Linked DNA regions of Danio rerio. The protein of the gene in region 2 purifies or fractionates together with the protein of the main gene of each other region. This does not show direct contact. Links are inferred from orthologs where the notes say so. Each region holds a gene or a part of one and is shown on either strand. Other genes may lie near its edges. The genes, in order: camk2d2, wdr76, xpc and numa1.

Region 1 (8,111 bases), on a different chromosome or scaffold from region 2:
GTCAGATGCAGCAGATTTCATAACACCTGGTAAAACTTTGTTGCCCATTTACAGCTCTCATACATTAAAAAATTAAAAGAAGAATAGACTTGGGTCCATTGGTGTGTGTGATCCATTGCATGCAAGGTTTCTGTATTTATAACCACCTCAATATTATATATTATATATTGGGGGTCGCGACTCACTGGCATTGTCATTTTGGGAGTCGCAGCCTGAAAAGTTTGGGAACCCCTGCCTTAGTTAATGGTATTTTTAAATGGTAAAATACTGGAAATTAGTCCTTAGTGTTATTTTTAAAGGTAAATTGCTAGAGACTGTTTCTTAGTGGGATTATGAAAGGTAAAATACAAGAGATTATTCCTTAGTTAATAGTTTTAAAGATAAAATACTAGTGATTATTATTTAGTTACTGGTATTTTTTAAAGGTAAAATACTTGACATTCCTTATTGTAAATTTTTAAAGGTACAAAGGTAAAAAAGGTACCTTAATTTTAAAGGTACCTTCATTTGTAAAGGTACAAATAATTATTGTAAATTATTTTAAAGGTACAATACTAGAATACCTCAAATTAGCAATGCGCCAACACCTTTTTCCTAGACCGGAACACCCATGAGTCCACAAAGTGGCGCAAATGAATTTGCTATTTAAACAATGTGAAGGAAAATGAAAAATTAAGGTTGCGCTGGTCTAAAAATAGCAACACGTCGCGGGTGTATGATAGGGTCTATAGTGTTTTAATACTAAATGTTTGCACCTTGACAATTCGAATTAGACTTAATTAAATCTAAAAAAATATGGCTCACTTGGTTATTTCAATATCATTAAATAAATAAATGATTTAAAATCATAGCTAATAAATAATAGCATTTTTCTGGTAAAATTTTATAAAGATACATCGTTATCAAGCCTGATCTCATGAGAAAACGTAAGTCTTTTACGTTTTGTCAGTGTAGTGATTAATTCCTATGAATTTGTACAGTTCAGTCGTACGAAATTGTAAGATTTTAAAAAAGAGGCGTGGCACCCAACCCCACCCCTAATCCCGTCCGTCATTGGGTGATGAGCAAGTTGTACTAAATTGTATGAATAAGATCGTACAAATTTATACACATTAGCCACTTAATCAAAAAGTTGCGAATTGCTGTGAGATTGCATTGCGTTATCTCAATACTCAACAACAATATCGCATATTTGTCCAGTATTGTACAGCCCCAGTTTACAATGAATATTACTAATATATTTTAAAAAGAGATTTCGTATATCCCCTTGTGGAAATGGAAAATACACTGGTATGTAAAACAAATAAGTATTAGTAGCATGAAAACAGACACTAGCGAGTTATACTGATGAAATAATGGCTTGACATACACAGGCACTCAAAGCCCTTAATCCAGACTCATTCATCCACAGTTTTTCAGACTGATATGTGGATGTATGTGATTCTCGAACATATAATCCCTTCAGCTTCTTCACAGCTCCACTTAGACACAAGCAAACGTTACGTCAGAACACACGCACGGAGCTCCAGATGAGACCCAGATGCAAAGTCTATCCCGGTTTAACCGGATGTGCAGCAGAACGTTGCCATGTTCGGCTTCACTAGATGCTCCACTGCCTGTATTCAAACCTGCCCCGCACCTGACAGGAGCCCACTAAATAAAAATCACCTACCCCTGGCGGACAGCTTCTTTGTGTTGATGATTTTGGCCGCATACTCTTGGCCGGATGATATCTTCACGCATCGCCTCACGACAGAGAACGCGCCCCTGAAGAAGAGGGAAAAAAGAGAAGACAGTGAGGGAAAAAATGGGCACGAGGCCCTGATGCCGAACAGATAGAGCATATGGCATGGAGAGCAGAATCTGTGCCATGACGGAGGCACAGCCTGAGCACTTCCAAGGTTACACAACTACCATTTTCCACGGTTGTTTGTCCGTGTGTGTTTGATGAGCGTGTGTGGGTGTTTTAAAATTGCTTAGCATATTCGCTGAACACATGCACACACCAAATCTGTCGATGTGCTTGTAAGAAATGAGGGGGTTAATTATGTATCACCTTAAATGTGCTTTTGTTCTTCTGATATGTAGAATGAGGCAATGCGTATATTTATTTATTTTTTTGTAAATATGTAGAATTGCTTCAAATTAATTGTCATTAATGTGTACAGACATTTATGATTAAATAAATCATAGCGTACACTTACAGTATTTTGATGATACATGAATTTACATTGTACTTATGTTTAATACTACCTACAGATGTAAATACCTGTAATTTCTGTAAATATGACTTTGATTACATGGTTTACCCAAACCCTAGCTCTTAAACAACTCTTAAACGTCCTCATACCACTAAACCTGTTATTAGCCTTGGCTGTATTTAACGTCAAGAGCAACAAAAAACACTTGCAATCAAGCATGAACACAAATACATGTGTATGTGTACATATAAATCTTTTCAGATAAGTACATAGTAATTCAATTTAAATATTAAGTAATCCACCTAATATAAAGAGTAAAAGAAAAAACGTGACCTTTTACTATAAATACTTACTGTAAAAACAAAGACAAACCAGCAGACCGAGGAACAGCTTTTCCCCCAGAGCTGTCTCCCTTTTGAACTCTGCCTCCACTGACTGTTTTGCCCTCTCATACACCCCCACACTCTCCTCATAACTTATACTCCCCATAATCACTGCACTATTTAATATTTGCACATTTAAAAAATATCTCCTTACACTACATTGCACTGATTCATTAAATTAATTTTGAATTGTAAATTACCCACAGTACATACATTTGTAATTATGTTCATATTTATCTGATTATTAATAGCAACCTGTACCTATCTATTGTTTATTTCTGTTCATAGCTAATACAACCTGTTTATAAAGCACATTCATCTGTAAATATCACCATATAACTGCACTTTATAGCTTCTATATCCTATATTTGCGCTCCTACATTGCACTCCTGCTTAGACCTAAACTGCATTGTATGTTGCCTTGTACTTGTACATGTGTAATGACAATAAAGTTAAATCTAATCTAATCTAATCTAAATATGTACACTCTCGGAAATAAAGGTACGCAAGCTGTCACTGGGCTTGTACCTTTTCAAAAGGTAAACATTTGTACTTAAAGGGTACATATTGGTACCTCAAAAGTATATATTAGTACCTAAAGAATTTAAGAGGAACTCTTTTGTACTATTTAGAAACTAATATGTACCCCAGGGATATTAATATGGACCTTTTAGGTACAAATAGCTTTTGATAAGGTACCACCCCAGTAACAGCTCACTTTGCTTTATTTCTAAGAGTGTATAAACAGGCTTGATTTTAATTAATTTGTTCATTTTATAAATCGTCACCTTAGAATTATAAGGTTCTATTGACTTATCCTTATTAAATGACAACTTGTTTACATTATGGGCTGTTTTTTACATTACGGGAAGTTGTTTACATTTTAAGACTTTATTTAAAAAACAAATGTTACACACATACTGTTTGCTATATGGAATTCAAAATCTTTGAAGCTCAATATCTCAAAATCGTTGAGAACGCAGATAAAACCTTATAATTCCTAGGTGATGAAATGTCGGAGAATGTTTCTTACAAATCCTAAATAACAGATTGACATTTAAGCAATTTTAACCAGAAGATAATAACTAATCAGAATAATAATGTCTATTTTTAATCACAACTTGTTGAAAATCAGGCTTATTCCACCAAATATCTAACGTCTAACTCTATTAAAGTAAAAACATGGTATTGTTTCAAAATCAATAAGAACATAATCTAAATGAAAGCATTTAACTCTAAATTTGGGGGTGGGAGGGTGCCATATAGTTGGGGCAACAGATGAAAATTAGCCCTTGTGGCTAACTCTGGCTCGATTAATAAGCATTGGCCCTTGTTAAATAAATACATTTCATTTCAAATGAAACAAAAGCAGATAAATTTAGAGAACTAAGAGCTAAAGCGCAGACCTCTTGTTTAGTGGATGTGATGATCCTAATGGAATGTGCTCGAGCAGCATACTGTTGCTATAGTAACCTCCTCTTCAGGTGAAAGTGACATAATAATGTCTATCTAGTGTACTCTGACCAGTATCTTAATTTAGTGCTTTAGTGAAATGTTGGTTGGAAACATTGCTACAACTTATACTTGAACGTTTTTGAATATCATTTTTTTAATTTTTTTTTAAATCGGTTTGATTAAATTGGTAGACTAATATTTGTCTTTGGGTTTAAACATTTTACTTTAAAAATCAAATATTTGTTTACTTAAGATTTTGAAGAAAATTGATCAGACGTTTATGGAGCCAACTGTAGTTAAATTTATTCTAAGCAAATCTAGAGACTCTGAAAATTATCTTCTGGTCAAATATTTATGTATATTCAATAACTGCATTCATGCATAACTCATGCATGACCCTCTGCCTGTGGTTTCGGGGATTTCGCTCAATATCAGCCTATAATTGACAAAAAATGCATATGCAACAGTGGAAGCCAACGCGTGCTGCCCATTCTTCATACATGATGCCACCGCGCAGATGGCGCAGAGACGCTTCGACAACATCATATTTTACGCAACGTTATTCCAGATTTCAATTTAAGGTCACAGCGGGCTTAAAACGGACTCGATCCGGGTCATTTTAGATCTGAACGCATAAGCACATCGGAATAAATGTATTACTGCATGCTCAAAGGGTATCTCCTCAAACGCGTACAGATCGGGACCACCGATGTTGGCCTCTGCTGCGCTCCCTCCCCCCTCCCCGGTCAAACGCAGCGCAAGGAATCCCCAACGCGATAATTAACGACACGGGAATGCGTGTCTGCACTGTTGTCGCATTGCCATGAGTATTTCTGTCTCCGGGGGGGAAAAATCCCGAGCCCCACCCCCCTTAAAATGTACATTATACCAGCTGTTCGGGTTTCTGACGTGATGATCACAATGGCCGCGTCACAGAACCTAGAACGGTGCCCACATACGCTGCATTTTTGGGCATCTCGTTTGGAATTGCACCGTTCCAAACGCGCCCGAGATTGTCTGTGAACGCCGTCTGGTTTGGCTGCTAGCAGTGCAACTCAAGTGTCCAAGCGCTCACGGCAAGGTTATTATTAAAAGCGTTCGCTGCAATTCCAGCGGAGCTGTCAAATGCAAGACGCATCATTTCATTGTGCGTTCGGAAACCTCAAGCGTGCGTATTATATAACAAAACGCACAGGAATGCAATGCAGTAGAAAACCCATCACTCACTTTCCGAGCTCCTCAAAAAGCTGATATTCGTCCGTGAATCTGGTGCAGATGGTCAGAGCCATTGTGATGGGGAATCGGCAGCGCGAGGAAGAGGATGATGATGCGGGGAAGCGCAGTCAGTCTCCTCACTCGTCCCTCCTGTAGACCAAAAGGAGAGCACTTGAAGGATTTTTTCTTAGCTTCTGCTTTGGTTCCTGGTCTCTCGAAGTGAGATGCGCCGATCAGAGTCTGATGATCAGATATGTAAACCAAGGGGTCGATGATCACCAACGGGAGGAAGAAGCGCGTTCACATCCGACGGTTCCATGGGTTCATCATTATGCGCGTTGACGTTGCCATCTCTCTTGAACGTGTTTGCATACAGCAGCACCTCGCCCCCTTCTCCCCTCCCTTCCAAAACCATGCCCCGCCCTCTCAAATATCATGCACTTGTAGAGTTTTCGTATTCATACCTCATAAATCGCCATGGCAATAATATTATTAATAAAGTCAAATGAATAATTGATCACAAGGAAGCATTTTAAAATGAACCGCTCCGAAAGGTAAATCGTGATAAAACTGTCACTTTAACATACAAATTTTGGACAATCAAAAAATGAAGAAAATTTACTTTTGTGGATAATTTAAAAATAAAAGTCATGTATGCTACTTTCATTCAGTTTATTTAGAATTTGTAAATTTAATTTAATGTTATTATCAATAATTTTTGTATTATTATTTGTATTAATTATTATTATTATTGGTATTATTAAGTATTCTTATTATTATTGGTACTATTTTTAATATTATTATTATTATTAGTAGTAGTAGTAGTAGTATTTGTATTAATATTATAAATTGTCATTATAATTGTTATTATTACTATTCTTCTTCTTATTATTATTATTGATATTATTATAATTAATTTTGTTATTGTTGTTTTTAATATTATTATTATTAATATTATTATTATTATCATTATTATTATTATTGGTACTATTATTATTATTATTATTATTATAAATTATTTTTATTAGTAGTAGTAGTAGTATTAATTAATTCATTTTCTTGTCGGCTTAGTCCCTTTATTAATTCGGGGTCGCCACAGCGGAATGATCCGCCAACTTATCCAGCACGTTTTTACACAGCGGATGCCCTTCCAGCCGCAAATTATTATTATTATTATTATTATTATTATTATTATTATTATTATTGGTAATATTATTATTATTAATCATTATTATTATCATTATTGGGCAGCACAGTGGCGCAGTGGGTAGCACAATCACCTCACAGCAAGAAGGTAGCTGGTTCAAACCCAAGCTGGGTCAGTTGGCGTTTTTGTGTAGTTTGCATGTTCTCCCCATGTTCTCCCCATGTTTCCTTTGGGTGCTCCGGATTCCCCCACAAGTCCAAAGACATGTGGTACAGGTGAATTGGATAACGTAAATTGTCCATACTGTATGTGTATGAATGTGTGTGTATGGCTGTTTCCCAGTGGTGGGTTGCAGCTGGAAGGGCATCCACTGCATAAAACATATGCAGGATAAGTTGGCGGTTCATTCCGCTGTGGGAACCCCAGATTAATAAAGTGACTAAGCTGAAAAATAAAGAAAGAAATGAATTGTTATTTTTATTGGTATTATTATTATTATTATTATTATTATTATCAATACTACTACTACTAATACTACTACTAATAATAATAATAATAGGCTACATCTGTCATCTTAGTTCATCCAGAAGAGGTTGCTTGAACACATTTGTGTCTAATTATTATATACTACACTAGACGCATTGTGTTAATTTTGTATTATTTTCAGAAAAATAACAATTTACATTTTAAATAATATCAGTTTTCTTCAGACACAGCTGGTGCTAAACTAAAATCATGTAATTCAAGATACCTTAATTTGCTAATAATCCTAATGAACGCAGATTATCTGGTTAATCAGACCTATCAACATTTAGGTGAGCCTATTTACATAAACTCCAAAATACTTCCAAAAGTATCATGATACTAAAACTGTTCATACTCAAAATACATACTAATAACATATGTGAGAAACAAGGTTTAAAATACACAGTAATAATAAAAATTATTTCATTCATTTTGGTTTTGGCTTAGTCCCTTTATTAATCAGGGGTCGCCACAGCAGAATGAGCTAACTTATCCAGCATATGTATTACGCAGCGGATGCCCTATCAGCCGTAATCCATCACTGTGAAACACCTATACACTCTTACATTTACATACATACACCACAGCCAATTTAGCTTACCCACTTTACCTGTACCGCATGTCTTGGGACTTGTGGGGGAAACCGGAGCACCCAGAGGAAACCCACACAAACACGGGGAGAACATGCAAACTCCACACAAACTCCACTCTGACCCAAAACCAGCGACCTTCTTTCTTGCTGTGAGGCGAAAGTGCTACCCTGAGCCACCGTGCTGCCCCAGTTATAAAAATATTAAATCTTACAATTGTTAGATCTTGTGTCACTTATATTTTTTTTACAATATGACAATCAAACAGAATTGATGATATACCTAATTAAGAAAAAATAACCTGTTGCAGTCATTAAATTAAAGGGACAAATCAAATAAACTAAGTAATTAATGAATAAATCAATCTAAATTAGTGGTCTATTTAGAAAATTTAGTAAAGAATTGAATCTTTAAAAAAATGTGTGTCTGTCCTGCAAAGTTTATAGCTCCAACTTGCCTCAACACACCAGTCCGGAAGTTACCAAGCCAATATCTTTATAGCTGTTAGGTGTGTTTAATTAGGATTGGAGCTAAAAAAAAATTGCTGCTCAATTTCCCCCCAGGAGCGAGTTTAGACATCCCTGGTTTAAAGACA
Region 2 (8,106 bases):
AAAAGTAGTACCCTAAGTTAGTACGTTGTAACTAAATCTGAACAACCAGTGCAACAGTTAAGTCTTAGTTTAATGAGAAACACACAACAGGCCTAAAGATTTTTTTTTGTATAAATTGGAGTAGACCAGGGATGAAAGTGAATATGAATAACTTTGCGTTTATTCATGTTAGATCTCTAAAAATGTGATACACTGTAGCCACATTGTCTACTATAAATATAATGAACTTATTAAATATAACTTGTTCTACACAATCTGTGATTTATGCCAAATACAAAGGTCCTTTGTTGCAGTGTACCAAAGTACTGGGCTAAAGTACTGGGTAACACTATCTGAGAATAGATGTAACAGTCAAGTAAATTGGTGAAATAATATCTACAATTCTCCAATATATCTGGACGCAGCCTTTATGATGCAAGCTGAGATTGCAATGATAGACACAATGCACTCACGATGTCACTGTGAGGTGTAGGGTTAGAGGTGGGGTTAGGTGAGCCTATTAAAAAGCATTGTATCCAGCTCAGAGTGCATTATTAGTTCCATACTGCAGTCAGATCCCTATCCATTATCCAGTTAATGAATTACTTAAAAGAACAAGATGAGTAATTAAATGAATAAATAATTTTCCTTTGGCTTATAGTTGCTGATTCATCATGGGTTGCCACAACAGAATGAACTGCCAACTACTCTGGCATACCCAGCTGATGCTCTTCCTGCTACAAATGGGAAGCACCCATACACTCATGGGAAATTTAGTTCATCTATTTCACCTATAGCACATGTCTTTAGACTGTGGGGGAAACCAGAGCACCTGGAAGAAAATCCATGCAAACACGGGGAGAACATGCAAACTCCACACAGAAACCAGCGACCTTCTTACTGTGAAAGTGTTAACCACCTAGCCACGTCACTTAAAATAATATATTTAAAAAAACAAACTGTGCGTCTGTGCATTTGTGTGTGTGTTTCTTTTGAAACTTTAAACTTGACATTGTAACAATTTGCTGTGTATGTCAGTGAGTGTATGCACTTTTAACATTTGCCATTAAAAAAGGAACATAGAGGAGGAATTAATACATTTCTGAATTAGGGTTTGATTGTTTCAACTGTTACATCTACAGGACCTCCTTTTACAGCATCAATTTGTCTTGGGAATGACAGATGCAAGTCCTGCACGGTGGCCAGAGAGATTTTCTGCCATTCTTCTTGCAGAATATTGGCTAGGTCACAACGTGATGATGCTTTAGGAAAACGTTTCCTGTCTCGCCCCTCTAAAACACCCCAAAATGGCTCAATCACATTTAAATCTGTTGACTGTGCAGGCCATAGGAGATGTTTAACTACACTATCATGTTTATCAAACCACTCTGTCACCAGTCTTGGTGTGTGTATTGGTGCGTTATCATCCTGATGCACGACACCGGCTTCAGGATGCAATGTTTGAACCATTGGGTGATCTTCCCTTGAAAATGACATGCCCATCTAGCACAATTATTGAGCCCAGAGAATGCCTTGATATTGCAGTCCAAACCTTCACGTATCCACACCCATGCTTCACGCTGGGCAAGCAACAGTCTGAGTGCTACACTTCTTTGGGGCTTCTCCACACTGTAACTCTCCCGGATGTGGGAAGACAGTGAAGGTGGCTCTTTTGAACTTTTTTATATGTCATCCATAATGCATTGCAATGTGTTGAGCAAAACTGTGCTAATACTCTAACAAATAAACATTCACACTCTGCTCTTACTGAAAGAATGTGCAATTAATTAAGATTGGCCTCCTCCAACACTAAACTGGCAATGTTTCAGTTTCATTGTTCAACCTCTGTATATAGAAATTCTTTTACTTCAATATTTGAATGAGTGAAATATAAGTGATAAACAATATTTTAGTCTTAAATAGTTTTCATTTATTCATTTTGTTTTTGGCTTAGTCCCTTTACTAATCTGGGGTCGCCACAGCGGAATGAACCCCCAACTTATCCAGCATATGTTTTACGCAGCGGATGCCTTTCCAGTCGCAACCCAACACCGGAACCACCCATACACTCTTACATTCACACACATACACTACAGCCAATTTAGTTTATTCATTTCACCAGTACCGAAGCACCTGAAGAAAACCCACGCGAGCACAGGGAGAACATGCAAACTCCACACGGAAATGCCAACTGACCTAGCCGGGGCTCGAACCAACGATCTTCTTGCTTTGAGGCGATTGTGCTACCCACTGTGCCACTGTGCTGCCCCAATAGTTTTCATCACAAATTAATTAAACAGTATCTACATATATCATTTATTTACGATGTACCTGTTTGGCTTACTATATGTCAGTACTGCATTACAGTAGTGTAGAATGCATTTTCAGTGATTAACTTTCCTTTAGCTTAGTCACTTTATTCATCAGGGCACGCCACAGCGGAATAATCCGCCAACTTATCCAGCATGTGTTTTACGCAGTGGATACCCTTCCAGCCACAACACTGGGAAATACCCATACACACCCATTCACACACATACAGTACCTATTTAGTATATTCAATTCCCCTACAGCGCATGCATTTGGATTGTAGAGGAAACCGGAGCACGCGGAGGAACCCCATGCCATCACAGGGAGAACATGCAGACTCCACACAGAAATGCCAACTGCCCAGCTGTCAGCCGAGGCTCAAACCAGCAACCTTCTTGCTGTGAGGAAACAGTGTTAACCACTGAGCCACTGTGTCACCCTATAGAACGGGTAGTTCAAGCAAAAATGAAAATTTTACATTTAATCATTTATCAGACTTATCCAAAGCGACTTACAGTTGAGGAGACATTCAGCAATTCAACAAGAAGAGGCAGTACACACAATAAGCAGGAATTATGCAAAGGAGCTGTTTGTGCTCAGAGAATTAGGTGCTAGATTTTTTTATCAGTATTTTCTCACCCTCAAGTCAAACCTTTATGATATTCGTTCTTCTCAAAAAAGTGCATTTTAAAGAAACTAAAGAGTAATCATTAACTTCCATAGCAAGAAAAAATAGCCTACTATAGAAGTCAATTGTTAAATGTTTCCAGCGTTCTTCTTTGTGTTCAACAGAAGAAAGAACCTCAACAGGTCTGGAACAAAGTGTGAGTGAATAATGACAGAATTTTCAGCTTTGGGTGAACTATCCCTTTAATTTATCACCCAAACATGAAACGTCACGTTAAAACACCTCCCAGACCATGAATATTGAAGTTGCTCTTCTGAGATTGTCGAATCAACCTTCGCTTTTTGGATGTCATAACAAGCAGGGGGCGGGGGCAGTTACGAAACCGCTCGTACGCGGGAGTTTTCATAACAGCTTGATTTCAAAGGAAGTGTGTGTGTTGAATAACCTCGAGAGCGTAGACATGGATACAGATAAAAGTGATTTAAGTTTAGAGACGATGAAGCTTTTACAGGTGAGCCGAGGTTTGCTCGCTACTAAATGTTTCTCACTTCCACACAATATATCAATAAAACACGCGCTGATACCTTGCAGTGTGTCTTAGGTCTGCATGCATGTATTTATGCTTTAACGTTACTTAAGTGTTCTGTACTGGTAATGTTAGCTTGCATGCTGTTGAATTGACGTTTGATGGACAGAAAGATTCAACTTTTTACCTCATTACACGTACAGGCAAATACAATTGCCAAGTAACGTTACAGCTGAAAGTTGTCGGCGTAATGTATTGAAATGTGTGAGGCACGATAGTAAAGACGTTTGTATTTGAAAGAAAATAAATGTAAACACTGTAACGGGCGATTAAAAGCGATTCGGTGAGTGCTGTAGCGTTAGTGTTTATAAAGAAGTTTTGAAATTACAGAACCTGCTGCAGCAGCTAGTGATTTTAGCGCCCCCTGTCGGACACAGTGCTCAGACACACCGCTGCTGGTTAATAAAGTTATGCGTTCAAAAAAATAATTGTATCTCTTTTTAGGAGAGGACGCCGCCTCAGAATCCTGGAATGGACGGGTCCGTGCTTCGGACGTCTCGGCGAATAAAAGAGAAACAAAATCAAAGGAAGAAACAAAATTTACCCCCAAAATGTCTGACCTTTAGGTCTGAGGTGAAAAGCACCAAAAGAGTCGTCAAAAGAAGGGTAAAGACATCTTTTGTTGACCATTTCAACCTCAGCTGTGTTTTTGAACATATATGTATATTTATTGAGTTATATGTTATATCATTATATATTTCATCCCTAGATAAGTGGCAGTGAAAAAGAAAAAGAAGTTAAGAGGTCAAAAGCAGACCCTGATCATGAATCTCTTCCAGTAAGTACAGTCAGTAGTCTGACTAGTCTGCCAAAATGTAGACTGTCCACCTGAAAGGCTTTTCTTTGTCCTGTCAAGCAGGGTTATCGTGAAGGTTTGTCTGAATATCAGCTGGAGCGATTGGAGAATATCAGAAAGAACCAGGCCTTCCTCAATTCCCTGAATCTGACCGAGGTAACTTAGCGAGGCAGCAGATTTAAAATGTTGCATTCTGTGTCTTTGTTAGTTGTACACGTTTTCATTTTCATTACATTTTCAAGGTATCTGCAGGGTCTTAGAAAGTCTTGAAGTCTCTAACATTTTAAAAACAAAAGTTTAGGCCTTAAAAGTCTTGAATTCACTAAATTATTGTGTTGTAGGTCATTTTATACAGGTCTTAATTTCCCTCTGTCCAAGTAAACCTGGCCAATCTGACCAACACCAATCACCTATAATCCATCTCAAAACTTTTTTTAATAGCAAAAATCAGTCTATGAAGGCAGCTCTCTGCCAAAACGTGCATAGGTTTTTAAAGGATTAGCCATGTGAATAAAGGGTTTTTAATGTTTTTTTTTTTTTTTTTTTTTTACATTTTTTGAGCGCCTTGGACTGATTTTTGCAGTTTATTCTGATGAATCCCTTACCCAAAGAGCACCAACACATTATTTAAGCTACCCCTGAGCACTATTTGTTTGATTTAGTTTTTAAACAAAAAAATATATATTTACGTTTTTTATTGCAAAGGGACACAATTCACAGCAGTTTTTAGACATTTTTTAAAAGCAAATTCTCCAAATTAAACTACCCAATCAGGCAAAGAAAATTAAAGCAACACATACCTTTAGATGATCTTCCATTAATACAAAAACTATTTACAGAAGTAACCAGGTTATAAGAAAAAAATGCTTAGTGTTTAGCCCTGTATAAATCTAACCTTTAAGTCATAATGGTCTTCAAAGGATCCTAAAAAGTCTCAAATTTGATTTGATGAAACCTGCAGAAACCCTGAGATTGACATGCTTGACTTTATACCCACTTATTTATGTTCAGTATTTTGACATGCTTGACTTTATACTAATATGAATGCGACTTGTTTACAGATTTCTGAAGCTCTGAGACCCAAGCAGAAGCCTACACAGAAAGGCCTGAAAAAGTAATTGTTACTTAATGTACATATTGTGACAAATGTACATAATTAATATATTGATGGAACCTTTTTAAACCACTAGTATTATTTTCAATTATATTTAAAGGTATTAAAAACATCTCACTACTAAAGATATTCTATTATTAAATTTAGAGAAAAGACCCAAGTGGAGATGCTTCCAGTTCGAAAGTCACTGCGGTTACAGAATAAGGGTCCTCAGAGTACCACTGCTACAGAATTTACCTTTCCTACAACCTATGAGCTTGTAAGTCATGTGTCATTTAAAAATAAATAAATAAATAAATAAATTTACACTGAAATGAATTGATATGAAATAAAACTGTCCTTACTAGGAAAAAGAAGCTAAACCCCCAGGACCTATTCCACTGGACCCTATCAACTTGGACGAAGATGCCACCTTACCTGATGATTTGTTAGATGTCTGGAATGAAGTCAGTCACATGCTTAAAATATTCTTAAGTTAACCACACATTGATAATATAATAATGACTTAATAATAACCCAAAATCTGTTTGATTTCATCACGCTTAGGTCCCGTTAGAACAAAGCACAGGAACACCAGATTTGAAATCGTGAGTAGAATCTAATAAGGAAAGAGAGTTTGCTTGTGCTTGTAATTTTGCAATTTCTTCTCTCACTTAAGCAATGAATATATTATGTATTGTTAAAGAATTGCTGAACTTGTTTTTAGGTATGAAAGAATGTTGAAGAAGTTATCTATTGATGACAGTCGTGTTGTGAAAGTTGTGAAAGAACGAATCTGTTGTGCAGCTTTTCACCCTTCCTCAAACTTGCTAATGGCTGCAGGAGACAAATATGGCCACCTGGGACTCTGGAGGCCGGTGAGATGAAGAGAAGAGAAATTTGTGAAAGTTGCATATTGGGAATGAATGACTATTTACTAATAACTGTTCTGAATTGCTGTGTTGTGTTTATGATGATGTAAACTGTGTTTTTTTCAGGATGCTGAATGGGGGGATGATGGTGTAGTCTGCTTTGAACCCCACTCCCGTGCAATTACTGCCTTGGCTTTCACATCTCAGCCGTGCAATCTCATCACAGCGAGTTATGATGGCTCTGCACGCAGCATGGACCTGGAGAAGGCTGTGTTTGATGAGGTAAAACAGCTAATGTACCATCAAAAGACACTCAAATATTAATAATCACAGTAAAAAAATAATATTCAGCTATGATGAAGATTAAATGTTACTAACGTTGTTAGAACCTATATATATGCACCTGCATCTAGCAGGCGAAATGGTAGCTCACTGGTTAGCACTGGTTCGAGTGTTGTTGAGTTTGTATGTTGTTCCGGTGTTTGTGTGGGTTTCCTCTAGGTGCTCCGGTTTGCCTCACAGTCCAAAGACATGCGGCACAAGTGAAATAAAAAAACTAAATTGGCCATAGTGTATGAGTGTGTAAATAAAAGTGTATGGGTAGTGGGTTGCAGCTAGCGGGGCATTTGCTGCATAAACAGGGTGTTTGTGGTGTCTTAAAATGTCTTCAATTTCAAAAGCTAAAATTTAGGCCTTAAGTTTTAAATTCACTGAAATATTGTGTTGTAGGTTTTAATCATTTTAAACTGGCCTTGATTTTCCCATGTCTAAGTAAAGCTATCCAGTCTGGCTGACACTCAATCAACTATAAACTTTTCTCAGAACTTTTAACTTTTTATATTTAAGTTTTTTTATTGCAAAGAGACACAATTCACAACAGCTGTTAGACATTTTTACAGCAAATTCTCCAAATTTAATTTTCTAATCAGTTAAAGAAAACTAAAGCAACACATCCCTTTACACGATCTTCCATTAATACAAAAACTATTTACAGAAGTAAACGGGTTTTTAGAAAAAATGCTTTGTGTTTAGCTTTGTTTAGGTCTAAAATGTCATTCATAATGGTCTTAAAAGTGTCTCAAAAAGTCTTAAAATTGATTTGAATAAATCTGCAGAAACCCTGGTAAAACATATGCTGGAATGGTTGGTGGTTCTGAAATGGAGACTAAAAAGAAAAAAATGAATGAATGAATGAATGTATGAATGCGCATCTAGCAAATAGGCATCAAAACCTTAAAGTGTGCAGTCTTTAGTGCTTCACAATATAACATCTCTATTTTGCAGGTGTATCGCTCATCCTCTAGCTTGAAAAGCTTTGACTTTTTGTCAAGTGACTGCTCCACCTTGCTGTTTGGTGAATGGAATGGAGACGTTGCCGTTGTTGACCGTAGAACTGGGTAGGACCAACATATATAACATGTTTATAGATATTTATACACAGAGAATTATTAGCCCTCCTGTGAAAGTTGTATTACTTTTCAAATATTTCCCAATAGAGAGATTTTTTTTAAAAATGTAATAGTTTTAATGACAAATTTTTAACAGGTAATAGGGTATATGCAGAATAACCTGGGTCTAGTGCTTCCGGTGAACTGTATGCAGAAAAGTTGCGTGTTTGAGGTCTGTTTTCTTTAAAAATCAACCATCACTGCCTGATTGATATACAATATAAAGTGGGTCTCAGATTGTACAAGAAACGCTGCTTTAAATGAAATTTTCCCACGCCATAATATGGACATTTATTTTACTCCAGTGTTTTTGGTGTTTCTGTGCTCGCTAAACGGCTTTTCATATCGTTTTACACTTGAACAACTAAATGAATGCCGAAGTCTATTTCACTGA
Region 3 (7,373 bases), on a different chromosome or scaffold from region 2:
TTAACCAAACATATCTCCTCCTAGGCCGTTCATGCTACAAGGCCCAAATTTGGTCAAAATGTGCCTTCAGCATTCAAGATTGTAGCTTTATCTCCTCATACCAATCAGACTTATCGTTATTGAATAAAAAAATGTTAAATATTACATTTTAATAATCTGTGCATATAAAAAATATTCAAGCCACAAATTTGGCCAAAAGCTGTACTTTGCATTAGATTTTAATGCTATATCTTGTCAGGTTTACCAGACTTATAGTTTTCCAATAATACATTTTTAAGCATTATTTTTCTCAAATATGTCAAGCCATAAACTCCATAACTTAAACTCCATGGGCTCTATTTTGACGATCCATGCACAACGTGCAAAGCGCAGGGCACAAATGCATAAAGGGGGGTGTCAGAATCCACTTTTGCTAAAATAAGGACGGAAAAATCCACTTTGCACTGTGGCGCATGGTCTAATGCGGTTGAGCTTACTCTCTTAATTAGTTATATGGCGCCGCGCCATAGCGCATTTGCTATTTACATGACGACTTTGTAAGTGGAAAAGCTGAGCATTTCACTAGCAAGAAAACAGTTAAACAGAGCATCTGCAGCGCGAGAATGAGAGATAAGCCATCTCATTGTTTACTTTCACTTTCGCTCTCGCGGATAGGGAAACGTGCTGTACGCACAGACATACATTAGCCTTTAAATAATTAATTTCATTTAAGCACAAAGATTTGTTTCAAAACTATTTCTAAATTCAGTTCTGATTTCCAGCAAACAAATAAATGAACGATAATAAAGAAGTGTGTTCAAAAACTGAGTTATACATGGAAGTATGGTTTTTATATTTATGTACGCTAGAAAATAATAATTTTTGCAATACTTTAATCCTTTAATTCTTTTTCATTTGTAAAGATATTTGTGTATTGCTGTTCATTCTGTGTGTATTAAGCATGTAAATAACCTATGCTAGAATCTGACAACTGTTAAGAAATTGGGAGAGTTTTCAAATTGTCAAAAGAAATTGGGAATTAGAATTAAACACTACAATAGAGAATGAAATGTGGAAACAAATATGCACGAATTGTCATAAGGGTATAAGCAGTCAAATATGGAAGGAGTTCAACTTGAAAAAGATGAAGATGAGGTTTTTCAGAGTTCAGAGAACATACAGGGACAGAGATTGTGTTGTTTTCACACACAATCAGAGAGTGAAATCTAATACCTTTTAAGACTCTTTCCATACATTTTAAGACCTTATAACTACTTTAGGCTTCACCTGGAAACACTGGCGAGATTTTAACTGGCAGTATATTTACTAAATATTAATGTAAGAAACTAACCCAAAACTAAAACATTCTTCACATACTGAATAAAAATCTATTAAATCTAGCTAAATCAGCAGGTTGCGCCTATAGAACTGCAGAAATTATGGTGTTGCCTACTAATACTGCAGTAAACAAAGCAGCAAGCTGTCAAATCTAGCAAGATTTCACTGATTTCATGAACTACACAGCATCCTGATATTCACAGATTTAATTCAGGCAAACTTTAGCATAAAGCCATAGATTGCATAATCAAAAATGATATAAAATGTAATACCTTGCAAAATAGCATTTGAGACTTTTTATTACTTTTTAAAACCCAACAGACACCCCGCAGTTCCATCAGTGATCGCTAAATTCGATAGTTCTATACAATTATCACAATGCTGGAGAGTTTGTGGAGAGATGGTAAGAGGATAAAGGGGAGTTTTAGAATACGACATATCAATGCACCCAGTTGTTTTTTTGCTTGATGGCTTTTCCCCCTGATCAGTTCAGTAAGTCTCCCCTATTTTCCCAATTTTCAACATTTATAATTCATAACAGCTAGAAAAATAATTACAGTGAACTGGACGAAAACCCGCCAAACTACTTTGAAAGAATTGACACAGAGGCTGGATCAGATATATGTATTTGAGAAAATGACTGCAGATTTGCAGGTGAAATCAGATATTTTCTAACAGACCTGGTCATTAATTGAAACACACTTGCTTGATCTTTGAAATGCCGTCAGGGGCTTTGTTGTAGTTATTGTCTTTATATTGGAGTGTATTTATTTATTTTTCTACCCCCCCCCCTTTTTTTTTAAGCTGTCACTATTATTTATTTACTATTATAATTTCCATCAATTGGTATTTTCTATCTGTTTGTTTATTTGTTTGTGAATGTAAATATTCTAAGTAATTGTTATGTGTATAATGTTTATAAAAACTTTAAAAAAACACAGTTACATTTTTATAGTTATTTTACTTCAATCAGTGTTCACTATAGTCATTTAAATTACAAGAAATATAATAATAATAATAATAAAATAGATAATTAATTAAAATAAGCAGTTTGAATTAAAAATATTAGAAAGAAATCACATTAATTTATATCAAATTCAGAATAAACGATCAAGACTCATTGGAGATCCAGTCCAACACCACAGACTTTCAGACCTTGCAGTTATATGCTTCTGCATAGACATCTACATTTCTTCTGTTACATTGGACAGTTTTATTTTTGATCATTTAATGGATACCATCTTTGCTTTAGATGTTAACTTTTAATATATGATAAATTATAATGAATCTCAATTGCAAGGAAAAAGTTAGAGATAAAAAGTTTAAAATAAGATACCATAATATTTGCTCGTCATTATGCATAAAAGACTTACAAGTAAACGCATGGATTGAGGTGTAACTCGTTAATGTTAGTGAAGCATTGTGTCGTAAATGATGAAAAATCTTGTCAATAGCAAGAAAACGGTTCATATTTGTTGCAGTTTTGACTGGATGAAACAAAACTTTAACTTTACACGCAAACTTACACTGCATGGGCAAATCCACAATGGTAATCAAAACCGGTCACTGCTAAAGCGCAGTCTATGTTCAGTTTCCGAGCCACTCTGTGCAGGTTTGGCAGATGCACGTGAACACATCCTATGGGCAACATGCACGACTTAAACATGTACACGTTCCCGAACTCATTGCGTGGTACCTGCAACACATAAAAATGCAGATCAGAACTTTAGCCAAAAAGAAAACAAAAACAGATAATTAAATCTATATTTAAAGCTTGTTTCAAAAACTCACTTTGCCATCTACAGCAATCGGAGGTTGATACTCTTCAGTTTGCCACGTTCCAAAAAGAGCCAGATCCTTGACATTTTTCTGCTCCGACATCATCCTGGCTTTACGGGAACGGTTGGAAAAACCAAGCACCATCTGAGAGAGAGTATTTCATGAGCAGGATTGAAAATATTTTTTGTAATTTATTCTATTTATAAGGTAAAATATATTAATAAAGCATGTTCAATTATGATCAGATGAGACCTTGTATGGCTCTTCTCCGAGTCGAACTGTTCTTGCTTCCTTCAGCCAGGTGTCTCTAGAATGGAGTGTGTGCACACAGTCTCTGAAAATACATCGAGATTATAAACAAACATGGACCATATTTATTCATTCATTCATTTTCTTTTTGGCTTAGTCCTTAAATGAATCACGGCTTACCGCAGCGGAAAGAACTGCCAACTTATCCAGCATGTGTTTTACACAGCGGATGCCCATACACCTACACACTCTTGCATTCACACTCATACACTACGAACAATTTAGCTTATTCAATTCACCTATAGTGAATGTCTTTGGACTGTGGGGGAAACCAGAGCACCCGGAAGAAACCCACACAAACACGGGGAGAACATGCACACTCCACACAGAAATGCCAACTGAACTGACCAAGCCAGGGTCGAGTCAGCGACCTTTTTGCTGTGAGGCAATTGTAGCACATTTTCACCAGAAAGGTTAAATGAAGTACTTAATCTACCACTAGCAATAAAATAAAATAAATTAAATCTAACAAAAAAGACATTAAAATGACTAAAAACTATTTTCACTAAAATAAAAAAATAACTAAAATAGTAATAAACATGATCTAAATAAATACTAAATTAACTCTGTTTAACTAATATCAAAGTAATAGTTCACACCAAAATTAAAATCCTGTCATCATTTACTCACCCTTTACTTGTTTAAAACCTTTGTGACTTACTTTCTTCGGTCGAACACAAAGTAAGATTTTAAAAAAGGTTGGAAACCTGGAACTATTGACTTCCATACTATTTGGTTGTCCATCTATGGAAGTCAATGGTTACAGGTTTTCAGCTTTCTTTCAAATATATACATAGAATAAAGAAACTCATGAAGGTTTGAAACCACTTGAAGGAGATTACATTTTCATTTTTGGATCCCTTTAAAAAACCTTTATAAATAATGTCTTTTTCATAGTTTGTTAAGGTTACCTTATCAGTTATTCTTTAAAAAATATTAAATCTAAAAAATATATTTTTATACATCCATTATTAGCGTTGCTGTCTAAATTCATTAGTTATAGTATTTAAAATGCTGTTTTTGTTTTCATTTATTTTGACAAAACAGAATTCAGTGTGGAGTCAACCATTTACTAGTTATTGCTTATAGCATGAAAATAACTTAATAAAGTTTTCCAGGGCAGATTAACAAATGAATGTTCATCCATCCTTCATGCTGTACATTATAAGACTGTGATCCCTGCATTCACATATATATTATATCTATTTATTATATATAAGATATTACCGTGAATAAACAGGCTCTCCTCTGCAGTAGCCCAGGACAGCAGCTGTAGCAGGATAAAGAGCCTCGTACTTCAGCAGGTGCCTCTTCAGTACATACAGCGGATGGTTTTTGTATTCTGAGACGGATGTTGGCAATGGCTTGTCCAGTAACTTTGCCTGCATCTATGAAGGAGAAACAAACCTGAGTCTAGTTGGTTTACATCCTATGTCTGTGTTTACCTATCAAACATTTAGGGTCAGTAAGACTTCTTGATTTTTTTTGAATGTACAAAAGAACAGCATTTATTTTAAATATATGTATATATATATATATATATATGTATATATATATATATATATATATATATATATATATATATATATATATATATATTTACAATAAATGCCCTTTCTGTCATTTATTTCCTTAGTACTGAATAAGTGAGGGTTGTATCTTACTTGTCCAAATTTCTGAATGAAAGTGTAAGGCGCTGTTTCCATCTGGTACTATAATGCAAATTTGAACGTTCTAAATGCAGTACCGTCTGTTTCCAGCTGGTATTATAGTCTTCAAACGCTCATTGTGACCACCTGTGTTCAGATTTCTCTTCCCACTCATTTGGTCACACTCTACATTACTTTCACAGGAGCATGTATTGTGACACACAATTATTATTGAATGGATAAACAGATGTTACGCAGTTTATGAGTGACCAGGAAAGCATGTGAATTAAAAAAATGATGTGAATAAAAACTATTATTTTTTAGGACATCCTCTTTGTGTTTTTGTTTTGGTGTACTTTCATTCCATAATGAGATCATGTTAAGTCAGTAGCTAGAGACTACGTGGTCTTTTGTGGCTGTTGAAGATAGGTTTGTCAAAAGTATCGAATTTGTTACCAGTTAATACAGGAATTTTAAAAACACTCATTTTTCACTAACATTTGAATGCTGTTGAAACGTCCCTACACACTGCTGATTGGCCAGTGTTCACTTGCTTTACAAATATAAACATGATTAGCTCTGAAGGTCATCGCTTCACCAATTTTCACTGCTTTTCACCAAGCATGAACAAATATTACTAGACAGTGGATCACTTGAAAGCCACGTCTTTCAGAAGTCAGCAGATCTCTCATATACAAGCATATTTGACAACCCTAGCCGCATTTCATAACAGCACTTACACTAATTAGAAATCTCTGGAAGTGGCCAACTGCACTTGTTTGTTTATTAAAAAAAAATGTTATCAGTATATTTTTCATAGGACTGCATGATAAAAAGAAATGAACTTGAATTCACGATTTAGCACAAGCTGTGATTCTCATGCACATCTTGTCAGGGAAGCTTGGCCCTGTGATCAGTTGTAAATCTTCTCTAAAGCCCAGAGAGTGCTCTCGCACAGAAACTGCAAATATGCTGCAAAGAAGAGATCCAGAAAATCAGAGGATTTAACTAAAGTTAATGGATAAGTAGGAAATCATTAGTAGAGTAGGTGAACTGTAGCGGCTCATGTTAACGCTAGTACGTGAGAAAAGAGACCAGAGGCTGTTTTGTTTTAATGGAAGTCAATGGATGAGGCATCGCTACATACAATAATCAGCTTTTGTGAGAAAATAACTTATCATTTAATCAATCGAAAGCCTGTTCAACATGTTTTACACTGTTCACCATGTTCATGGTAAATCACATGCATATTTTGCCCTAATAAATATAACCCTAATGTAGGGTTGTCACAATAGTGGAATACGATACCAATCAGTACTGAAATTTCAAAAAACGTCCATTTCCTGCGAACACTTAAGCGCTGTTGAGCACGTTCTTAAACACCGTTGATTTGCCGTTGTATTTATGTGCTCAACAGAAATTACTGTGGTTGGCCGTGAAGGCCATTGGTTCACCCAACTCATCGCTGTTTACTGCGTGTAACCACAGATACAGGGACACTGGAGGGTTTTAAAGCCGTGATTCATCACCGGCTCACTGGTATGTCAGCTTATTAGACAAACCAGCTGATTGACATGACTTTGAAACTCTTTAGAAGGATTTATTTTAGATGTTATGAAGCGAGTTTGAGTAATCCCATGTTTTTAAATGTGGTATTTTCATGTACTTTCAGATGTAGCAGCAACACAGAGTCATAGATCAATGAGAACTGCTGTCATATTGCAGACTTATTATCTTTGATTTCAGAATTACACTAATTAAATCTTTTACTTTAAATAGCTTGTCAGTGAATTGTGCTTCTGTGTAATAAATGCTAGGTGTGTAATGGATCACAACCCACGGTTCGGAACACCTGAGATTAATAAATAGTTTTTTTTTAATCGGTAGATAAATCCTTAATTTGTAACGATCACAGAGAGATTGCCTCTTGCGTCATTTAAATCACGTGTTTAAAAGCATTTAGGCTTTCCTGTAAAATATAAGGATGACGGAAGAATTGTGGTAGGTTATTCGGGATTTGGGGGGTTTTATCAAAGGTGTTTTCTGTCACTACTAACCATCCGTGCATTCAGTGTAAGCTGCACAAATAATCATAAAAAGATCGGGATCTCAACACGCACGTGACATTATAAATGATGGTCATTTGCAAATGATTATTAATCCTCCGAATCGCTGCATTCAAATCTGAAAATGCAAAAATCAAGAAGGAGATTCAGTCTTAAGTCTTTTTGGTTAGTTATGAAGTAACAAACAGTCAAATAACACAAGTTCTGGGATAACAGTTTATAGTTTAGAGAAAACCACTGTTGTTTATGGTAA
Region 4 (7,643 bases), on a different chromosome or scaffold from region 2:
CCTGTTTTTGATCTACATCAACACTAAACAGGAAACATTTTTGCAAAATCTCTGCCTACCCACAACATACAAACACTCTGAAATGGGCATTTCTTTCCCACATAAAACAGATTTGGAAAGACCAATCAAAACAGACTTCGCCAGCTGACCAATCAGAGCAGTGTTGTTTGTGGAAGGGAGAGGTTTACAGGCAAGAGCCAAACCTTTTTCAAACAAACCTTATTGAAATCACTACAAAATAATTATATTAGATGCAAATTCTGGAAATAAGTACTGTTTTCTGACTTTAGATGTGTTTAAACCTGTTGTATGAGACTCCAACACAATATTAGGATGCTTAAAAATCCAACAACGTCATAAACTTACTTGGGCCTCCAAAGTCTTCACTTTAGCAGCAAGGCTCTTCTCTTTATCATTGGCTTGGTTGAGCTCCATGCGAGCCAGGGTTAGTTCAGTTTCCAGAGCTTTAGCTTCTCTCTTGCTGACCTCCAATGACTGCTCAAGAGTTTTGTTCAGCTCTTGAGCCTCCAGCAGCAGCTGCTTTTTACCATTGTAGTGATTCATGGCCTTCTCCACCTGAGACATAACCATGATACATTAAGGCCCAATCCCAATTCTATTTTTGTACCCCTACCCCATTCCCTTGGCCCTTAAAACAGAGTGTGAATGGGAAGGGCTTCAAAATTTACCCCTAAGAAATGGGACATCACTACAGCACACGTCGTCATATGCCATCGCGATCTCTTCCTTCAAATGAGATCAGACGATCTCAACTGCTGTAGTTATTTCAGTTGTGTTATTTTTTGGCATTTATCTTTAAAAAAAACAATTGCTGAATCACCCCTCCCCCTTAGCCCTACGCCTTCAAGCTAAAGAGAATTGGGACACCCCTACCCCTTCACGTGAATGCGCAAAACGAGGGGTAGGAGTAAGGGGTAAAATTGGGATTGGGCCTAAGACTTGGAAAAACGAACAACACTTTTCTACGATTGGGTCTGAATGGTTCTTAAAAAGACAGTTCTACCAGGCTCACATGGAAAAACAACTAAACACTGAAACCGTACCTGACCAACTGTTCGACCCAATAGTGGAAAAACAACTAAACATTATGGTTATGTAATGGGAATTTTAGAAAAAGCATGCAACCCATACCTGTGCTTTGTAGTGCTCTACAGCTTCTGTCTTTGCCTTCAGCTGCTCCAGGAGCTCCTGATTCTGCTCCTCCCACTGTTGGGAAGCCTTTTTAAGTGCAAGGATGGAAGCAGTTTGTTCCTCAACGTTCAACTCCAGCTCAGCTCGAATCTTCCGGGACGCTTCACACTCTCTTCGGATAGTCTGGTTTAGAGATTTCAGATGGTCCTTTTCTTGCCTCAACATCTCCAAATTCTGCTGATTCTGTTGACTTTTGTCAGCTTGAAGCTCAACAATTTTCTTCTCCAGATCCTCCTTTGTCTGATGCATCTCAAGGACACATGTCTCCTTTTGCTTGCATAGTTCTTCCATTTGTTTCAGTTTCTGATTTAAAGTTTGCAGAAGCTGGTCTTTGTCCGAGACATCAAGACGAGCAATTTCAAGCTGTCCTTGAAGGTTTTCAATTTTCTCCTCAAACACTCTGAGGAGATCATCTTCAGACTGTTTAGCTTTCAAATGCTGACTGTTTATTTCATCTTTAAGAGAACTTATTTGTGCCTCTCTCTCAGAAGCAAGAGTGGAAATCTCTAGAATTTTAGCCTGAAGATCACCTGCATCCTTCTCAAGTTTCTGAGCCTTTTCTTGAAGTTTCTCTTGTTTGCAAACCTCATTTTGAAGCTCAGACTCTTTCTGAGAAGCTGAAACGGTCAACTCCACCACTTGCTTCTGAAGAGTATCCAGGTTCTCCTGTAAAATGTTGTGTTCATTCTCTAAAACAGAAAGCTCATGTTTCATCTGCACTTCTTTTTCCTGGTAACTTTGGATTTCAACTTTAAGAGAGGTTAGTTCATTTAAAAGGTTGTCTTTGGCCTTGCTCACTGTTTCCAAATTCTGCTGGCATCCTTCCAATTGCTGTTTCTCAACAATAATCTCACCAATCCTCTTCTCCAAATTCTCCTTTACCTGAAGCAAATCAAGAGCATATTTCTCCTTTTTCTTATACAACTGATCCATCTGTGTAACCTTTTGATCCAAAGTCTGCAGAAGCTGGTCTTTTTCGGAGACATCACGACTAGCAGTTTCAAGTTGTCCCTGGAGGTTTTTAATCTTTTCTTCCAACACTTTGCGGAGATCATCTTCGGACTGTTTGGCTTTCAAATCCTGATCATTTAGTTGATCTTTTATAGAAGTTACTTCAGTTGACAAGAGGTCTCTTTCGCTTTTTACCATTTCCAAATTCTGCAGGCAGCCCTCCAGTTGTTGTTTCTCAGAAACAAGCTCATCAATCTTCTTCTGCAAGTCTTCCTTTGCGTTCTGCATCTCAAGAACTGCATTTTCCTTTTGCTGGCACAACAGATCCATCTGTGAAACCTTTTGATGCAAAGTTTGTAGATGTTTCTCTTTTTCCGAGACGTCACGACTACTAGATTCCAGTTGTCCTTGAAGGGTTTCAATCTTTTCCTCAAAGACTTTGCAAAGATCAGCTTCAGACTGTTTGGCCCTCAAACTCTGATCATTTATTTGCTCTTTCAGAGAAGTTACTTCATTTGACAGGAGGTCTTTTTCCTTTTTTACCATTTCCAAATGTTGCAGGCAGCCCTCCAGTTCTTGATTCTTAGAAACAAGTTCATTCATCTCTTTCTGCAAGTCTTCTTTTGAGTTCTGGATCTCAAAAACTGCATCCTCCTTTTGTTGGCAAAGCATCTCCATCTGCCTCAGCTTCTGATCCAAAGTCTGCAAAAGACCGTCTTTGCTTGTGGCATCACAACTAGCAGTTTCTATTTCTCTCTGTAAGGTTTCCACTTTTTCCTCCAGGACTCTACGGAGATCATCTTCGGACACTTTAGCCTTCAAATGACCCGTCAATTCTTCCTGAAGAGAATAAGCAACAGCCTCCTTCTCAGAAGCAAGAGTGGACACCTCTTGGACTTTAGCTTGAAGTTCTCTCACTCTTCTCTCAAATTCCTCATGCCTGGCAATCTCAAGCTCTTGAGCCTTTTCGTGAAGGCTCTCTTGTTGATGAAGCTTGTTTTGAAGCTCTGAATTTTTCTGTGAAGCTGTAGTTATCTCCTCTGCTAATTGTTTCTCAAGGGCAGCCATGTTTTCCTTTAAAGCATTGTTTTCAACTTCCAAAACAGAAATTGTTTGTTGTTTCTGCATTTGAGTATCCTGGTAGCTATGAATCTCCTCTTTTAGAGATGCTACTTCAGTTGAAAGATGATCTCTTTCATTCCTCATAATTTCTAATTTCTGCTTGCACTCCTCAAGCTCAGCAATTCTCTTCTCCAGGTCCTCCTTTGCCTGATGTGTCTCCATTACATCTTTCTCTTTTTGAAGGACAACCATTTCCATCTCTTTAAGCTTTTGATCCAAAGATTCCAGTTGATGGTCTTTGTCTGCAGCATCTCGACTGACTACATCTAATTCTCCTTTCAAGATGCCAAGCTTCTCCTGCCACTCCCTGCAGAGATTATCTTTAGATTGGTTGGCACTCAACTGTTGATCCCTCATCTCATTTTCAAGAGAAATTACCTGGGCTTCCCTTTGAGAGGCAAGAGTTGACACCTCTAGAATTCTGTCCTGCAGTTCCTTCACTTTTTTCTCAAACTCTTCTCGCTTGATGGCCTCAAGCTCCAAAGCTTTTTCTCTCAGGGTCTCTTGATGGGAAAGCTCCTGTTGAAGCAAGAGGAGTTCAGATTCCTTCTGGGAAGCAGTAATCATCGCCTGCTCTACTTGATCCTGAAGATTAACCAGTTTTTCCTTCAAAACATTGTGGTCAGTCTGTAAATCAGAAAAATCCTGTTGGGAACGATGAATTTCCTCTTGGAGAGATGATACTCGAGTAGACAGATGGTCTCTTTCATTCCTTAGTATTTCTCGATTTTGCTGAATCTCATCTAGTTGTTGTTTCTGCTCAGCAATATTATTCTCCAGTTGCTGCTTTGCTTGTTGACTTGCAATGATTTCTTCCTCCTTTTGACAGTACAGAAGCTCCATCTGCTTCAGACTTTGATTCAACGACTCTAAGTGATGCTCTTTTTCAGCAATTCCATGGTTAGCAGCGTCTAGAAGTTCCTGCAAATTTCCAACCTTTTCCTTCATCTCATTGCGTAGATCAGCTTCACACTGTTTGGCTTTCGATAGCTGATCTTTCATCTCATATTGAAGGGAGCTCACACAAGCTTCCCTTTCTGAGGCAATAGAGGAAACCTCAATAATTTTGGCCTGAAGTTCACTCACGATCCCCTCAAGCTCCTCACGTTTAATCTTCTCAAGCTCCTGAGTTTGTTCTCTTAGTGTTTCTTGATGGGAAAGCTCCTGTTGAAGCAAAATAAACTCTGATTCCTTCTGTGAAGCTGAAGTTGTCGCCTCAGCCAACTGGTTCTGTAGAGAAGTCAGGTTTTCCTTCAGCACATTGTGTTGTGCTTCTAAAATAGACAATTCCTGTTGTTTCTGTGCCTCATTTTCACTATATCTGCAGATTTGCTCTTTCAGAGATGTTACCTCTGCTGATAAAACCAGCATTTGCTCTTGTTTTTCTGATGCGGCAGAAGCAGCGCAATGAAGCTCCTGCTGAAGTTTTTCAACAGTTTCCTCATGCTCCTTGCGATTAGATTTGATCATTGCATTTATTTCAACATTTTGCTCCTTCACAAGCTTCAGCTCGTTGTCTACAGACTCATACTCTTTCGTCAGGTTTCTGATTTCTTCATCTTTAAGAGAAATCTTTTCACACAGATGCAGAATCTCAGTCTGGAGGCTTTCGATTTTAACCAAAGCCTCACTAACCTTGTTCTCTTCCTCAGTTTTCTCAAATCTGAGTTCATTTACTTCCGCCTGAAGGTCTCCGATTGCCTTTAGATGATTATTCAGCTCCTGCTGCATTGTGCATGCTTCATTTTTCAGGGAATTGTTTTCTGCTACCACTTTTTGATGCTCTTCCAGCTTCTTCTCATATTCCTGAACAGTAGCCCTAGCGATTTGTAAATCGCTAATGAGGGAATTAATTGCATCCTGTTGAGAAGCTCTCTCCACTTCCAGCCCCTGGATCTCAGCATGCAGAGAATGAACCATCCTATCTAAAGATGCTACCTTTCCTTCCAGCTCCTCTCTCTGTTGGCGGAGATCTGCAGATATTTTGATCTCTGCTGTCAGCTGCACTTCAACCTGTTGCAGACGGGAAACGTCCCTCTCCAGTGCTGATATCTGCGCAGAGAGCATCTCTTTCTGCGTCTTTAAGGCCTCCTGAAGTGTTTCTCTCTCCAGACGGATGCTGTTGATGGATTTCTCCAGATCAAAAACCACCAACTGGAGTCTTGCGGTTTCTTTTTCAAAAGAGCATCTCTCCTCAGCCAACAAGGCCTCAACTTCTGCCTTTTTCTTCTCGAGGTGGGAAATGGATTCCTGAAGCTGAGCGAGTTGAAGAGTGAGATCAGCCAACTCTTGTTTGAGCTTTTCCCACTGAGAAAATCAAGAGATAAAAACTGGTCAGTTCAGCTCAATATGAACTGTAATTACATTTCTTACATGGATAGTTCACCCAAAAATTCACTAATTTTCTCACCCTATACTTGCTCCAAATCAAGGCTGAGTTTGGAGACAGAAGTTATATGGAAGAAATCTGGAAACCTGTAATTACTGGCTTGCATAGTATTTGATTTTCATAATATGAATTTCAATGGTTATAGAATTTCAGCCTCCTTAAAAATAACTTCTTTTGTGTTGAACAGAAAAAAACCCAAAGGTTTGGAACCACTTTAGGGAGAGTAAACAGCGAGTACATTTACATTTTGGGGTGAATTATCCCTTTAACACATAGTGTGAAATTAAGACTTGATAGTTTCAGTGTTAATTTTATCAATAAACAAATGTAAAATGTTTTTAAGCTTTTAAATTAGCCTCTGATAAGGATGAGAATAATGAATGTGGACAAAAATCATAGTTAAAAATGTATACTGTTAACAAAAATAAAATTTAAAAAACAACATGTGCATTAATGTTGGAAGAAGACATTTCAAGCAATCTAATTCACAAATAAAAGTGAACTTAAGTTATGCACAAGTTAACTCAAATTGAGTATTTTTGATAACAACAAACTAAAATGAACAATAACTTTCAAGAGATCAGAAAAATCAGAAGGCCTCTTAAACAAGGGCTGGCTTGCTTTTGCTAGATGAGTTTTGATGAATTTTTCTAACTAAGATGCAATTTTAGTAATAGTAAATTTGACTAAAAATAATACAGATTTCCTAAAATAATAAACTACACGATGTAGGATTTCTTTATTAACAAAAAAGTGTGAAAGTGATCACATCAAAGCATCTCACCTCCATGATGGGCCCCAGCACCTCTCCTCTCTCCTGAGACTGAGCTTTCTTCAGTTCATCCTCCAGAACAGAAATCTTCCCCTGCAGTATCAGCACCTGCTCACTCAGACACTCCTGCACAAGAGAACAGCACCAGCAAAACTGATCAAACACTCTGGTGCTTATTTCACTCAAAGCAAACAGAACATATATCTAATGTGCAAAATATGGAGAGGACGAATTTTTCTTTAAAACTACAAATGGACAAATATCTGCAAGATTGGGAGAAATGGATTGTAATTATAGCTTTACACAGAGTAATCTAATTTATATATGTATTTGTTCATGTGACCTGTAAGGAAATATGTGACCTGTCAACTGCTCATTTAAGTTCAGGTGTTTTATTGTATTATTTATTTTATTTTATTTTTTTAAATCTACTATTTGTATTATTTCCCTTGTTTTTTTTTTCTTAAAAAAAGATAAATAAAAATAAAGTATAAAAAAAAGCAAACAGAACATGATTAACACAATAAATACACCAAGTACTGCTGAATATAACTGAAATAGTCTACCTTGTGTGTGACGGCCTCATTCAGCTCCTTCTCCAGCAACTCTTTCCTGTTTTTCCACTCCGTCTGTGCAGATTCATGAACCACTGTGAGTTTGGCAACTTCCTGCTCTGCTCTCGCCAGCTGAGAGAAAACATTACGAAGCTGATGGGGACAAAGACACTAATATTTTAGACTCCAAAATTAATAATTATTATTATTAAATAATTAAGTAAATAATAAAATAAATACATTTAATTATTAATAAAAAATGTAAAAATTACATAAACAATGAAATAATATCTAGTCAAATAAAATAAATAATAAATATATACATAAATTAATACAAATAAATAAATGTAACAATAATGATAATTGTAATTTATTATTACTAAATAATTAAGCAAATAATCAAATAAACAAAAAATTACATTATTATATATATATATATATATATATATATATATATATATATATATATATATATATATATATATATATAAAACTTAATTACATAATTAAATAATAATTATTTATATAAACAAGCAAAGAATGAAAATTGAATAATTGAATAATTAAATAAATAAGATATAAATAAATATTAAATAAAAAAGCAAAGAATAAAATAAATAAACATAAAATTATATAAATAAAT

What was found.
Region 1: the proteins of wdr76 (region 2) and camk2d2 purify together in Homo sapiens (affinity purification with mass spectrometry; 3 studies listed by BioGRID and IntAct, counting the BioPlex papers as one, with this or other methods). This does not show direct contact. The link is inferred for Danio rerio from reciprocal best matches to the Homo sapiens genes WDR76 and CAMK2D.
Region 3: the proteins of wdr76 (region 2) and xpc purify together in Homo sapiens (affinity purification with mass spectrometry; 3 studies listed by BioGRID and IntAct, with this or other methods). This does not show direct contact. The link is inferred for Danio rerio from reciprocal best matches to the Homo sapiens genes WDR76 and XPC.
Region 4: the proteins of wdr76 (region 2) and numa1 purify together in Homo sapiens (affinity purification with mass spectrometry; 3 studies listed by BioGRID and IntAct, with this or other methods). This does not show direct contact. The link is inferred for Danio rerio from reciprocal best matches to the Homo sapiens genes WDR76 and NUMA1.

The regions. Positions count from the first base shown.
Region 1 is NC_133176.1:15,615,473-15,623,583, forward strand, and holds the start of camk2d2 (calcium/calmodulin-dependent protein kinase type II delta 2 chain), read right to left. Parts: upstream 5,592-8,111; 5' UTR 5,329-5,591; coding exon 5,267-5,328; intron 1,768-5,266; coding exon 1,673-1,767; intron 720-1,672; exon of another isoform or gene 520-719; intron 485-519; exon of another isoform or gene 1-484. UniProt on the Homo sapiens protein: Calcium/calmodulin-dependent protein kinase involved in the regulation of Ca(2+) homeostatis and excitation-contraction coupling (ECC) in heart by targeting ion channels, transporters and accessory proteins involved in Ca(2+) influx into the myocyte, Ca(2+) release from the sarcoplasmic reticulum (SR), SR Ca(2+) uptake and Na(+) and K(+) channel transport.
Region 2 is NC_133182.1:30,166,610-30,174,715, forward strand, and holds the start of wdr76 (WD repeat-containing protein 76), read left to right. Parts: upstream 1-3,323; 5' UTR 3,324-3,377; coding exon 3,378-3,428; intron 3,429-3,947; coding exon 3,948-4,109; intron 4,110-4,212; coding exon 4,213-4,281; intron 4,282-4,359; coding exon 4,360-4,455; intron 4,456-5,360; coding exon 5,361-5,413; intron 5,414-5,560; coding exon 5,561-5,672; intron 5,673-5,760; coding exon 5,761-5,859; intron 5,860-5,959; coding exon 5,960-6,000; intron 6,001-6,119; coding exon 6,120-6,270; intron 6,271-6,390; coding exon 6,391-6,546; intron 6,547-7,548; coding exon 7,549-7,661; intron 7,662-8,106. UniProt on the Homo sapiens protein: Specifically binds 5-hydroxymethylcytosine (5hmC), suggesting that it acts as a specific reader of 5hmC.
Region 3 is NC_133183.1:27,920,334-27,927,706, reverse strand, and holds part of xpc (DNA repair protein complementing XP-C cells), read right to left. Parts: intron 4,794-7,373; coding exon 4,633-4,793; intron 3,431-4,632; coding exon 3,349-3,430; intron 3,241-3,348; coding exon 3,109-3,240; intron 3,014-3,108; coding exon 2,844-3,013; intron 1-2,843. UniProt on the Homo sapiens protein: Involved in global genome nucleotide excision repair (GG-NER) by acting as damage sensing and DNA-binding factor component of the XPC complex. Has only a low DNA repair activity by itself which is stimulated by RAD23B and RAD23A.
Region 4 is NC_133190.1:46,761,298-46,768,940, forward strand, and holds part of numa1 (nuclear mitotic apparatus protein 1), read right to left. Parts: intron 7,154-7,643; coding exon 7,013-7,153; intron 6,573-7,012; coding exon 6,459-6,572; intron 5,593-6,458; coding exon 1,153-5,592; intron 577-1,152; coding exon 367-576; intron 1-366. UniProt on the Homo sapiens protein: Microtubule (MT)-binding protein that plays a role in the formation and maintenance of the spindle poles and the alignement and the segregation of chromosomes during mitotic cell division.